Linked DNA regions of Xenopus tropicalis. The protein of the gene in region 1 purifies or fractionates together with the protein of each later gene. This does not show direct contact. Links are inferred from orthologs where the notes say so. Each region holds a gene or a part of one and is shown on either strand. Other genes may lie near its edges.

What was found. Proteins that work in one complex are often made in the same cells at the same time.
Region 2: the proteins of nop58 (region 1) and snu13 fractionate together in Homo sapiens (co-fractionation; 3 studies listed by BioGRID and IntAct, with this or other methods). This does not show direct contact. The link is inferred for Xenopus tropicalis from reciprocal best matches to the Homo sapiens genes NOP58 and SNU13.

What each region holds. Positions count from the first base shown.
Region 1 is NC_030685.2:52,324,096-52,329,837, reverse strand, and holds the start of nop58 (nucleolar protein 58), read right to left. Parts: upstream 3,700-5,742; 5' UTR 3,584-3,699; coding exon 3,539-3,583; intron 2,040-3,538; coding exon 1,963-2,039; intron 1,470-1,962; exon of another isoform or gene 1,381-1,469; intron 1,143-1,380; coding exon 1,090-1,142; intron 1,012-1,089; exon of another isoform or gene 922-1,011; intron 782-921; coding exon 657-781; intron 1-656. UniProt on the Homo sapiens protein: Required for the biogenesis of box C/D snoRNAs such as U3, U8 and U14 snoRNAs. Part of the small subunit (SSU) processome, first precursor of the small eukaryotic ribosomal subunit.
Region 2 is NC_030680.2:113,913,396-113,918,209, reverse strand, and holds snu13 (NHP2-like protein 1), read right to left. Parts: upstream 2,704-4,814; 5' UTR 2,599-2,703; coding exon 2,596-2,598; intron 2,066-2,595; coding exon 1,945-2,065; intron 1,154-1,944; coding exon 891-1,153; 3' UTR 558-890; downstream 1-557.

The DNA.
Region 1 (5,742 bases):
TTTGTAGAGACTTTTGCCGATATTCCTAAGTTACATAATGACACAAATCTTGCCTCAAAATTCACTTCAAGATTATTTACCACAGCAAGCTGTCTAAAGCCAATGTTAGGAATTGTTGGCACAGAAAAGCAAATACTGCAAACACTGTCAAAGCAGGACACTCAGGCTTTGCATAATGTATTTGTGCTTTTACACACTATGACCTGGAGCAGCCATATGGCGGCTTGCATTGGATTGGAAACTGTACAGAGAACTTGAACAGCTGCATGCAATAGTGTTTTGTTACTTTTACTTTCTGGCAAATACCTAGCAGCCTTGTACTTCAATGCAAATAGTAGTATTACAATTCTGAAACATGCTAAATTTCTTTAAAGTTTTAAAATTTCTTAAAGCACTGAAATACTTTAAGAATATTTAGTTTTTAACTCATCCTCTCATTATTCTAACTTAATTCATCCACATCAAACTGCAAATGCAAAACTGTTAAATGCACATTGATTATTTCTTTCATTCAAAAAGATCACATACAAAAATTCAAGACAAAGAAAAGCGTAGGTGTAATGCACAAATATGAATGAATCTACGCAAATGCATTGACTCCTTTGGCCTTTATAATTTTGTTATTGTAACTCACACACTTGATTTATAATAAATACCTTGATGACGCCCCCAAGCTTTGCATCTGCAATTGCAAGTTGCTCATGAGCCTCCTTTGCTGCAATTTTTCTTAATACTTTTTTCAAATTTTTACTGAGTTTTCCCTCAACCAGAGCAGTGGAAGCTAAAGATAAAATTGTAAGAGAATTAATTTCATAGTTTATGACAATATAAAAACTTAGCTAAAAGGGGCAGTGTCTTATCTTGTTAATTGCTAATTTAAAAATGAACATCCTTTCACCAATATCTGCAGAAATTAATAAACCTGTCATCACCTCAGTGGTAGTGACGAAGAGTTGAATCTAAAATCATTTTGTTTCAGATCAACATTTATCCATCATAGGTGACATTTAGCAATACTGCAGGTATAGCATGTTTTTCATACATGAAAATATGGTGGCAGAGTGGGATAAGCATATGAAGAATATTTACCTGCCAATGCCTCTGTTGTGTCCTGAAACTTCTCAAAGTGTTTTAATTTCACCCTGCAATACAGAAATATTTTACAAATTTCAAGCTATACGGTTAGCACTGTGTGTGTTATAGTGGACCAATAACAGGTCCGCCTTTAAACAAAGTTAAAGATCACACACAAAAAGCAATTATACAAAAGCAATTTAAAACTTTAAACTTGCCTGGACTACCAACCAATTTATTTGCTTCAGCCCTGGACTCAAACCAAGTAAAACCAATTCAGACGGAAGAATTAATTTTCCGTAACACTTAAGTATTGCCTCAGTGGTAGTGACGAATTGTTGAATGAAATCACAAGTAATCAGTTCAACAAAGGATCCATCATTGGCAATATGGAAAATATATCAGACCCAGTTTTCATAGCCTCTGAAATGTTACCCAGAAACTTTAATTAAAGTAATCCTTACTCTTTTCACTAAACGCTACTTAAAGAGGGATTATTTTTTTTATATCCTATTTAGAACCCATCCTAATTACTTTTCTTATGTCTACAAGTTATCTCTATCTGTAATTTCCTAATTTATTTCCCATGAACCTATTTCAATGATCTAACAGTATACATGCTGTCCCTTCCCAGCTTTCATTTGTATTTTGCCTGACGAAGGACCCTAGGTACTCCGAAAGCTTGCAATTTTTACTTACACAGTTAGGTATCACCTAACCTTACATTGTCTGCATCTCTTTGATTTTACAGTCAGAGGAACTGACCAGTAGGTGGCGCTGATACACAATTATATTGCCAATTTATAAACTACTTAATATCTTTGAAAGGAACAAAAATGTAAATTGCTAGACAATGCAATTCAGCAGTGCACAGTTATTAGAACTTACACTCTATTTGCTTTTTCTGGTGTTTCAAACTCTTTCCATATGCTGTCTACTTCTTGCAGCTTACTCTCATCCAAAACCTGTAAAGAGAAATGGTTTTAGACACTTTGAAGGGAAAAGAATTTTAAATTATTAAATCATGGTTGTTTATTTTTTTTATTCAGTTAAGTGACACATGATTAAATGAACCCTAACATCCCAGGCTGAGAACAGAAAAAAAAATGTGAACATGCAGAAGCCCTGAGCTGCAGTTACAGCAGCTGCCACCAGTAATGCTCTTCTGTTACAGCAGAGAATTGAATGCGAAAAGCACCCCAATTGTATTCGACCAGGGATCCCCAACCTTTCTTACCCGTGAGCCACTGTCAAATGTAAAAACACTTGGAGAGCAACACGAGCATCATAAAAGTTCATGGAGGTGCCAAATAAGGACTGTAGTTGCCTATTAGGCAGCCTCTATGCACACTATCCGCTTACAGGAGGCTTTATTTGGTAGTAAATCTTTTTATTCAACCAAGACTTGCCACCAAGTCAGGAATTCAAAAATAACTACCTGGTTTGGCGGCACTGAGAGCAACATCCAAGGGGTTGGTGAGCAACTTATTGTCCCCGAGCCACTGGTTGGGGGTCACTGTATTAGACAGGTGTGCAAATACAGGCCAAATTGCATCCTGTTGTGTTTTGGTTAGCAGCATACATGCAAATATTTAATGTGGACAACTTCGCCTGGCACCTAAGCCTTTCCTGGGAAGCCACCAATATGAGGAACATAATATGCCACTGGCAGCATAACACAATTACAGGTGCTTTTGTAGCAAATATTTTTTTTCCACTACAAATGAGCACCTTATCAGGGAACTGTTGAACTATGCAGTTTTCGCATACATCTGACTGCAAGACAGCAGATAGTTTTAAATTATTGGAATTGGTACAAATAATTTCATAAAAATGATAAGGTTTTAGTCATGGCAGTAAGGTAAGGAATCAGAACCTGTGGCTGCTATGAGGCACTAGAGGCAAAGTAGGGCAGTAACTGATATTCCTTTTATTATTTTAGTAAAAATGTCTTGTTTCTAAAGTTTAGATGGCCCTAAATTGATCTAGCTGTGGGGCCCATTATGTTCTAGTTACTACATTGGTTTTAGACAGAATTAACAAAGCAGACAAAGTGTTGCAAAGATATCACATTGGCTGGAGTTCCCTGGGGCAACTATAGAAAGCCAAAAATATCATTATAAATAAGCAGAGGATACAATATACTTGACTGCGATACATTCATAAAAGTATGCATTTTTCCAGCAGACAAGTAATGTAGTGTAGTTCGTACTTCTAAAACAAGTAAATCAAACTTTGTTAAAATATTTCCTCTAAAATAAATACAATGTAGCTAGAATATGCACACGCGTTACAAAGTTGCAAATTAATGTTATTCAAACGTTCAGCTATAGGAAACCCGATACAAAGGTTAAAGCTGCGCTACAGTGAAGCGCTTGCCCATGTGGCCTGCTAATGGCCCCACCATGTGCTCAGCTCTCCCTTTCACTAGCAGCATCAATACTTCCCACCGGACACGGATTACCTTGAAGATGGCGTAGCCCGCCGCCGTTTCGAACAGCACCAGCATCTTGGCCCGCCGTCAGTCCACCGATAGCTGCAGCACTTACGGACTAGCGCTCGGCAGACACGTGTGACCGGGAATAGCAAGGAACACACTCTGATTTCCACCGCCTTCAATTCGCACGTCACTTCCTGCTTACTCCAGTTCCTTCCTTCCTCTGCCAGCAATGGCGCTTTGGCACGTGTGCGTTACGATTGGTTGTTGTTCAGCTCAGTGATCCAGCAGATAAACGAAATATGAGCGAATATAATAAAAAAGCGAAACCTTAATCTCATATCCCCTGGTTTTAAGTTTTTGTGCGCTTCTTTGTGACATTTATATTGTATTGGGTGCTTTTGATAGAATTTACACTGTTTCGCTAGACTTCTAACCAAAATTTGTAGTCACTGTGTTTCCCCAGATTTGACACCAAAATTTTGTCCTGATTTTACCCCAAAATTTTACGTTTTAAAGTAAAACTGACTCCAGTAATTATATCCTTTAAGTACATGAAGAAGAATAAGTTGCTTTAACACATTTCCCCTGATTTTACACCATTTTCTCTCCTGAAAATGTAAATCGGGGGTTCTACTGTAAAGTAATAATTTTTATTGTGTGGCTGTATAAATAAAATTTCATTTTTCTTTAAGATTTCTAATTAAAAGGTCACTGCAGTGTTCTTTCTAGGCTTATACAGTATATCAGTAACTTCAGTGTTGGATTGGGGTACCAAGGGCCCACCAGAGAACCAGACCTCAGGGGCCCCCTGTGCACATTCTTTGAACTAAAATACAATAGGTGTAGTTAATTATTATTAAATAACATAAAAAAGCAAATACAGTAGAACCCCAATTGGGGTTACATACCAGGATTTTAAGATTTCCTGGAACTGACGCTGTTTTTTTGTGGCCCCATACAGGCAAGTGGTGTCATTTTTTCCCCCAAATTTAAAATTTTTCCAGATTTTAAGCTGTTTTGACGCCTTCCCCTGGGATATGTAAAATTAGGGTTTTACTGTTCTATTAAAGGAGACATATTGGATAAATGGTAAAAACCTTAATTTTGTAGGCAATTATGAAAAATATATGGTGCTGGTTTCACTTTGTGCTAAAAATTAATCCTGTCTGTAACAATGGCCCCTTTATTGGAGCTCCCTATAGATCATATCACTTCTCTGTCCAAGTTTGAAATGGAGAGTGGGTGTGTCCTAACAGTCCCTGCCAGAAGCACAGTAGGAGGGGGAGAGCCAATCACAGCCCTGCAGTCACACAAGCAAAGACAGGCTTCAGTTCCCTATCAGGTCAGCCTAGCTGCAGATTGGTTCCTATCCTACAGAGCAGTGTACTGAGAGCCGCCAGCTCCCCAGCTCATCCAGAGAATTCAGCCAGCAGGAAATGGAACGGATGGGCGGGACTAGTGAGGTTTTGGGGGAATTTCTCAATAAATCAGCCAGAAACACAACTTTTTTAAGCACAATCCTTCTATATCTAGAGGAGTATAATTTACTGGTACATTCTTAATTTTTATAGGATGTCTCCTTTAAAAAAAGTTTTACTGAAAAGTTTAAAAAATGGATTTAAAACATGTATGACAGAGAAATTAGTTATTTTATAGATTTTCTTAAATGACAATACATACAATGTAAATACTAGCCCAACAGCTCAACTGAACCTTGAAAGGTAGTCCACGTGGTTATGTAGCAGTTAAATTACATTACAGCAGGGGTGGCCAGACTTTTTGAGGTCATGATTGACCGGACCGATGCGGAATGCGGCATCCCCGGCTTGATCGTGGTCCACCAGAAATCCATGGGGATCGACTGGTAGACCGCGATAGACGTATTGGCCACCCCTGCATTACAGCTTCAGATGCCCAGTTTTCACAGATCGAGTAATGGTAAATTATTTTTTTTTTTAAAAAGTCACGCAAGCGTACGAAAAAGTCGCACAATCGCGAAAAATCGGCAAAAATTCGCTTGGAGCCCAACCAATATACTGCTAACGCACCTGGCTCCACTATTGATTTGGGAATATTCCCATAATACTTATGAATTGTATTTAATTTATTTTAATTTATATGTCTTTAATTTATCATAGACTTTACAACCCCCCCACCCCAGAACTGCATACCTAAAATGTCAGTAATACAAATTTCTGCGACCAGAGGCCAGATGCTGGTGCTGCCTT
Region 2 (4,814 bases), on another chromosome or scaffold:
GTAGATGTGATATATTTTCATGGATCTTGTTTCCTATAAAGCACTTGTAATTAAACCTTTTTCCAAGAATGTCAAAGCTTTTTGGATTCCATCATATCAAAGTTCAAACATGTCTCTAAATGTATTCCCTCAAGTTTATTTCCATGCCCTTTCCTGTTCTACTGCTACTTCTATATCTTTTAATACACTTTCACATTTTTACTTCCTCCCACTTAAATACGCTTACCTTTTAAATGAACACATCTGGTAACCCTTTTCCAAAAAAGCCATGTTGAGTCTGAGAACTCTGAATTAAATTTGTTCTTGCTATCTTGCTTCCACCAACTATGCACCTATATTAAGGACAAATTTAATTACCCCTAAAGCATGCCATACAAATGGTCTAACCAACAACCATAAATACTAACAGCACAATATGGGCATTATTCAAAACCATAAGAACAAACACCCACTCACTAAAGCAAAACTGTCAGTGTGAGTATTAACACTCCCATTTCAAGCAGGCCTGTATGATAAAGTGGTGAAAATCTGTAACATCCCAATAAATACAAGTAGACTTCACATGTATATTTTTATTAAAAATACATACAATACAAGTCAGTGTAATGAAAATAAATCTTTCAAGATCCTGTTTGACACAAAAGCAATTCAAAACAACTGCAAATGTAAAAAGTAAAAAGAAACTGATGACAGCTCAATATAGTCCTCAGCTACAATTGCTGTTAAATGTGTTAACTCATAAGACTTCACTCAGTTGTGCTGTTGTAACTTGGCTCCAGCCAAAGATACAAAACTCACCACTGGTTTTCTTCGAAAGCTACTAAATCAAACAGTGTGATGAAACGCCTTACAGCTCTTCTGAAAGGGAAGGTGAACATACAACCATCAAATTACACCAGCAGCCTCTCAATAGACTGCTGAAGAGACTGGATTTGAGGCTTCAGCTGGGAACCTTCCTTTATGGTGACTGCACAAGCAATCACTGGCCTAGAGACTCCACAAGCTCTTCCAAGTGCTTGCTTGGAGCGCACAAACACATAGGGGACATTCTTGTCTTCACACAGGAGTGGGAGGTGTAGAATAATTTCCAAGGGTTCTGCATCAGCCGCCATGACTATAAACTCAGCTATGCCTCTGTTTAGGGTTTTTGTAGCTGGAAAAGAAAACAGCGTGTGTTATCATCAAGGACACTTCTGATATATTATACTGGCTACTTTGTGTAAACAGGGCACTCACATTTAGTGTGTATGGTGTTAAATAAAGGCAAAATTAGCCCCAGCAAAGAATTGCTTCTATGTTCTGAATTAGACAAGCTAACTGGTAATATAGTAATGTGTACATAATAGGTTTTTAAAGCTTCTTTGTTCCTTGTATCCACTATACAGCACTACAAAACTGATGCTTTAAAAGTCAGCTGCTCAGCCACCACAGCTTGTTATACTGTAACTTTAGAGCAGTGCAAACCAGATGCAGAAACCAAGTGTGTCTAAAGCGTTTCATTGCAAGAAGGGTTAGTTTTTTTCAGGCTGCTGTAACTACAAAATTGCTATGATCTAGGGCAAAGACAAAAAAAACCCAAAACAAAACCGTGATATACCATGAATATCAAGTCCTTGGATGGACCTGCAAGTTTCCTCTGTATTTCTATAAATGTCCTTTTAATAAGGACTGTCTAATGTATCTTAAATGGGGCTGCTATGAGTTAAACCTGATCTTAGGGACCAACACAATATAGAGAATATATATATATAATGTAAAAGTTACAATATAAGGCTGTTTCCTTTTACATCCTGATTCACATTACATGGCAGCCCAAAAGCCAATGTATTCTGCATAAAAAAAAATTAATGGGGGCATGCATGTAATGATCAGCATAACGGTCTCTAACACATGATATTTTTCCGTATTTACTACATTACAGCTTACTGTTTGGGCATGTCTTACCTTCATTAGCACCCTTGCGAAGCTGCTTGTAATTAGCGGCTTGCTGAACAAGATCCAAAAGGGTTTTTGTGAGCTGGGCATCTGCAAGTGGGTAGGCTTTAGGGTTCACTTCTGGTTCAGTCTGAAAAAACAGGATTAAAAAAAAAATAGTATTCTATGAATTTAATTCAGCAATGCCAATATATTCAGCAGAACCATCCAAAAAGGGTTGAATAAGTGTGGCATGCCGACAAGTGGGAATAAACTACCCTCTGTACCATAGAGAAAGTATTATGCATGCCAGGCTATCCTTGAAAGCACCTACTGGGGGCTACATAACCCCCGGTGCAGAAGTTACAGGAGTTTGTGTCCATGTGCTCTTAATAACAATTCATATGTTAGGCCATTATGCCCGATTTGGTTTAAATGAAAACGCTCAAAATGAATCATACTGATATAATATTACTGATCAGCTATAAACCAACGCACACAAGCGCTGTGGTACAGGCAATTTCACACCTCATCGCCAAACACAGCACAAGGGCATGGAGAGGCACATAATGCAGCCATCACCACGTGTACTGGTAGCCAAGCTACAGAGCAATAATGGCCGAATGGGCACTAAATATACACAATCACGCACCCTGAGGCTCCCTTGCCTGTGCTACTTACCATGGCAGCGCTTGGTGTTTATCCGTTCAGTGGATCGGTGATGAAAGCTTCTCCTCTCAGCCCGCAAGCCTCACGGAGGATGATCGAATGGACCTAATGGGAACTCCGCAGTGGCAACGTGTTGTAGACTTCCGGCAAAGAAGAAAACCGGATGGGGCGGGACGTCCCTCAGTAGTCTCTGGGTTGCGGCTCCGGCAAAGACGAAAACCGGATGGGGCGGGACGTTCCTCAATAGAGAATGGGTTGTAGCGTAATAGGATAGTTATAATCACGTGGCTGCTGGCAGGGAAAGGCCGCGAAAGGGGCGGGGTTGAAGCGGACCTGAGTTAAAAATCGGCTTATTAGTTAGGGAAGGTTTATTATTATATGTGTTATTCTCTGAATTAGCTATTACAACAATAATTACGTGTCAGTTAAGCATATATTTGGGGAGAAAATCGTAGTTGCTCTATTAGATGCTTTATTTGTTAGTGGGGAATGTAAGTGGTGGCGCACAGAATGTTCTGCTGACAGGTATAACACGCTGCTTATGGTGTGAGACTTGTGTACAACTGGAGGCTTTCATTCAAGGTAGTGCGCGTTAACCAAAAGCCATTGTAAATGAAAGTTAGTGATAGCAATAGACTAAGGTGCCCATACACTATAAGATCCACTCGCTTGGCGATGTCGCCAAGCGAGTGGATCTTCACCCGATATCCTCACCTACGGGTGGGCAATATCGGGTAGCAAGTGGCTTGAAAAAAAAATAATCCGATCGTTTGGCCCTGGGGCCAAATGATTGGATTACATTTGCGGCCATGGGGCAGTCGGTTCGGGGACCGCATCAACGAGCCGATGCGGTCCCCGATCCGACCGGATTTTCTGACCTGGCCGATCGATATCTGGCCAATTTCAGGCCAGATATCGGTCGGCCAGGCCGCTCTGTTCTGCCCATACACGGGCCGATTAGCTGCCGAATCTGTCCATGGGACCGATATCGGCAGCTATAGTCGGCCCGTGTATGGGGACATTAAACAGCAGAGAGTGGCTTATAGATAGAGGCCCATACTATGCATTGGATCACTGGGGAATCCTCAAGCCCCAGCACAGAGCACTTCCTTTCAAGCTTCAGTTGTGCCAAATGTACATATCAGATTTTTAAAAGGAGACAAGGGAGCTCCCTTGACATCATGCTTTTGATGAATAAAATGCTTTTTTAACTATAATACCTCCCTAAGGAAGTTTGTTTTGGTGTGCAGGGCTTATATGGGGTTTTATTGGTATATTTAATCCTCTTATGGGGGGGATTGCTAAAACCCTAGCACATAGATATTATATACTTTACATTTGTATTTTTTTGTGGTTAAAAGGCAAGAATATTCTAGCTCGGAGTGCCCTCTATTATCCTAAATTCCATCTCCTTCACTCCTCTCAGAGTCTCTGTTAAACATTACTGTTAAACATTTAACTACAAATTTTTAAAAAGTAAAAAAAAAACAAATAACTACTTGTCCAGGAGTATTTGGACATCACTGCCAAGCTTTGTCAGATAGCAATAATCTCCTGGAAGCAGTCAATGTATTGTAAGTTGGTCTGAGTGCCCTCCTCTTTGGTGATCACACCTTTTGTTTGCATTGCACACTCAGACCGACTCGCTGGCTCTTGCTGCTGTGGAGCTGGGTCTGGTACCGGTTCAGCCATTACCACCTCTGCGGCTGCCCATGCCTCCTCCGGCGCGTCCGCTGCCACCTCCTCCTGCTGTTGAGGCACTGCGTTGTCTCCTGCATGAGAAAGCTACATAAGTATTTTTATCTCCCTCCATTAAAGGCATGCACAGGTTAGCAATCAGATCAGGAACATTAGTTTCTAGGCATAAAAAAAACATAAAGAATCATGATTTTAAAATCCCTCATCTGGCAGAGTACAGATGAAAACCAATGGGAGTTTAGCCAAAAAGATACACACAGAGCAAACAGCTACAATTAACATTTATGTTAGTGGCGTCCGACTACAGAGTTTACTTTTGGCCCTAAAGTGCAAAAAGAAGCATTTGTTTAAATGAGTAACAAACCGATCATCTTGCAGAGCTAAGTGTCTTTTAAAAAAAAATCTAAGAAAAAGTTACACATCCACGTACTCACCATGTTGCTCCTCCAAGCTTCGCTGGATTGAGCTAACCAGGTCCGGACTTCTCCTTTTCACGTCGGTCCATACTCGCTGTATGATGCTGAGAGGCATCC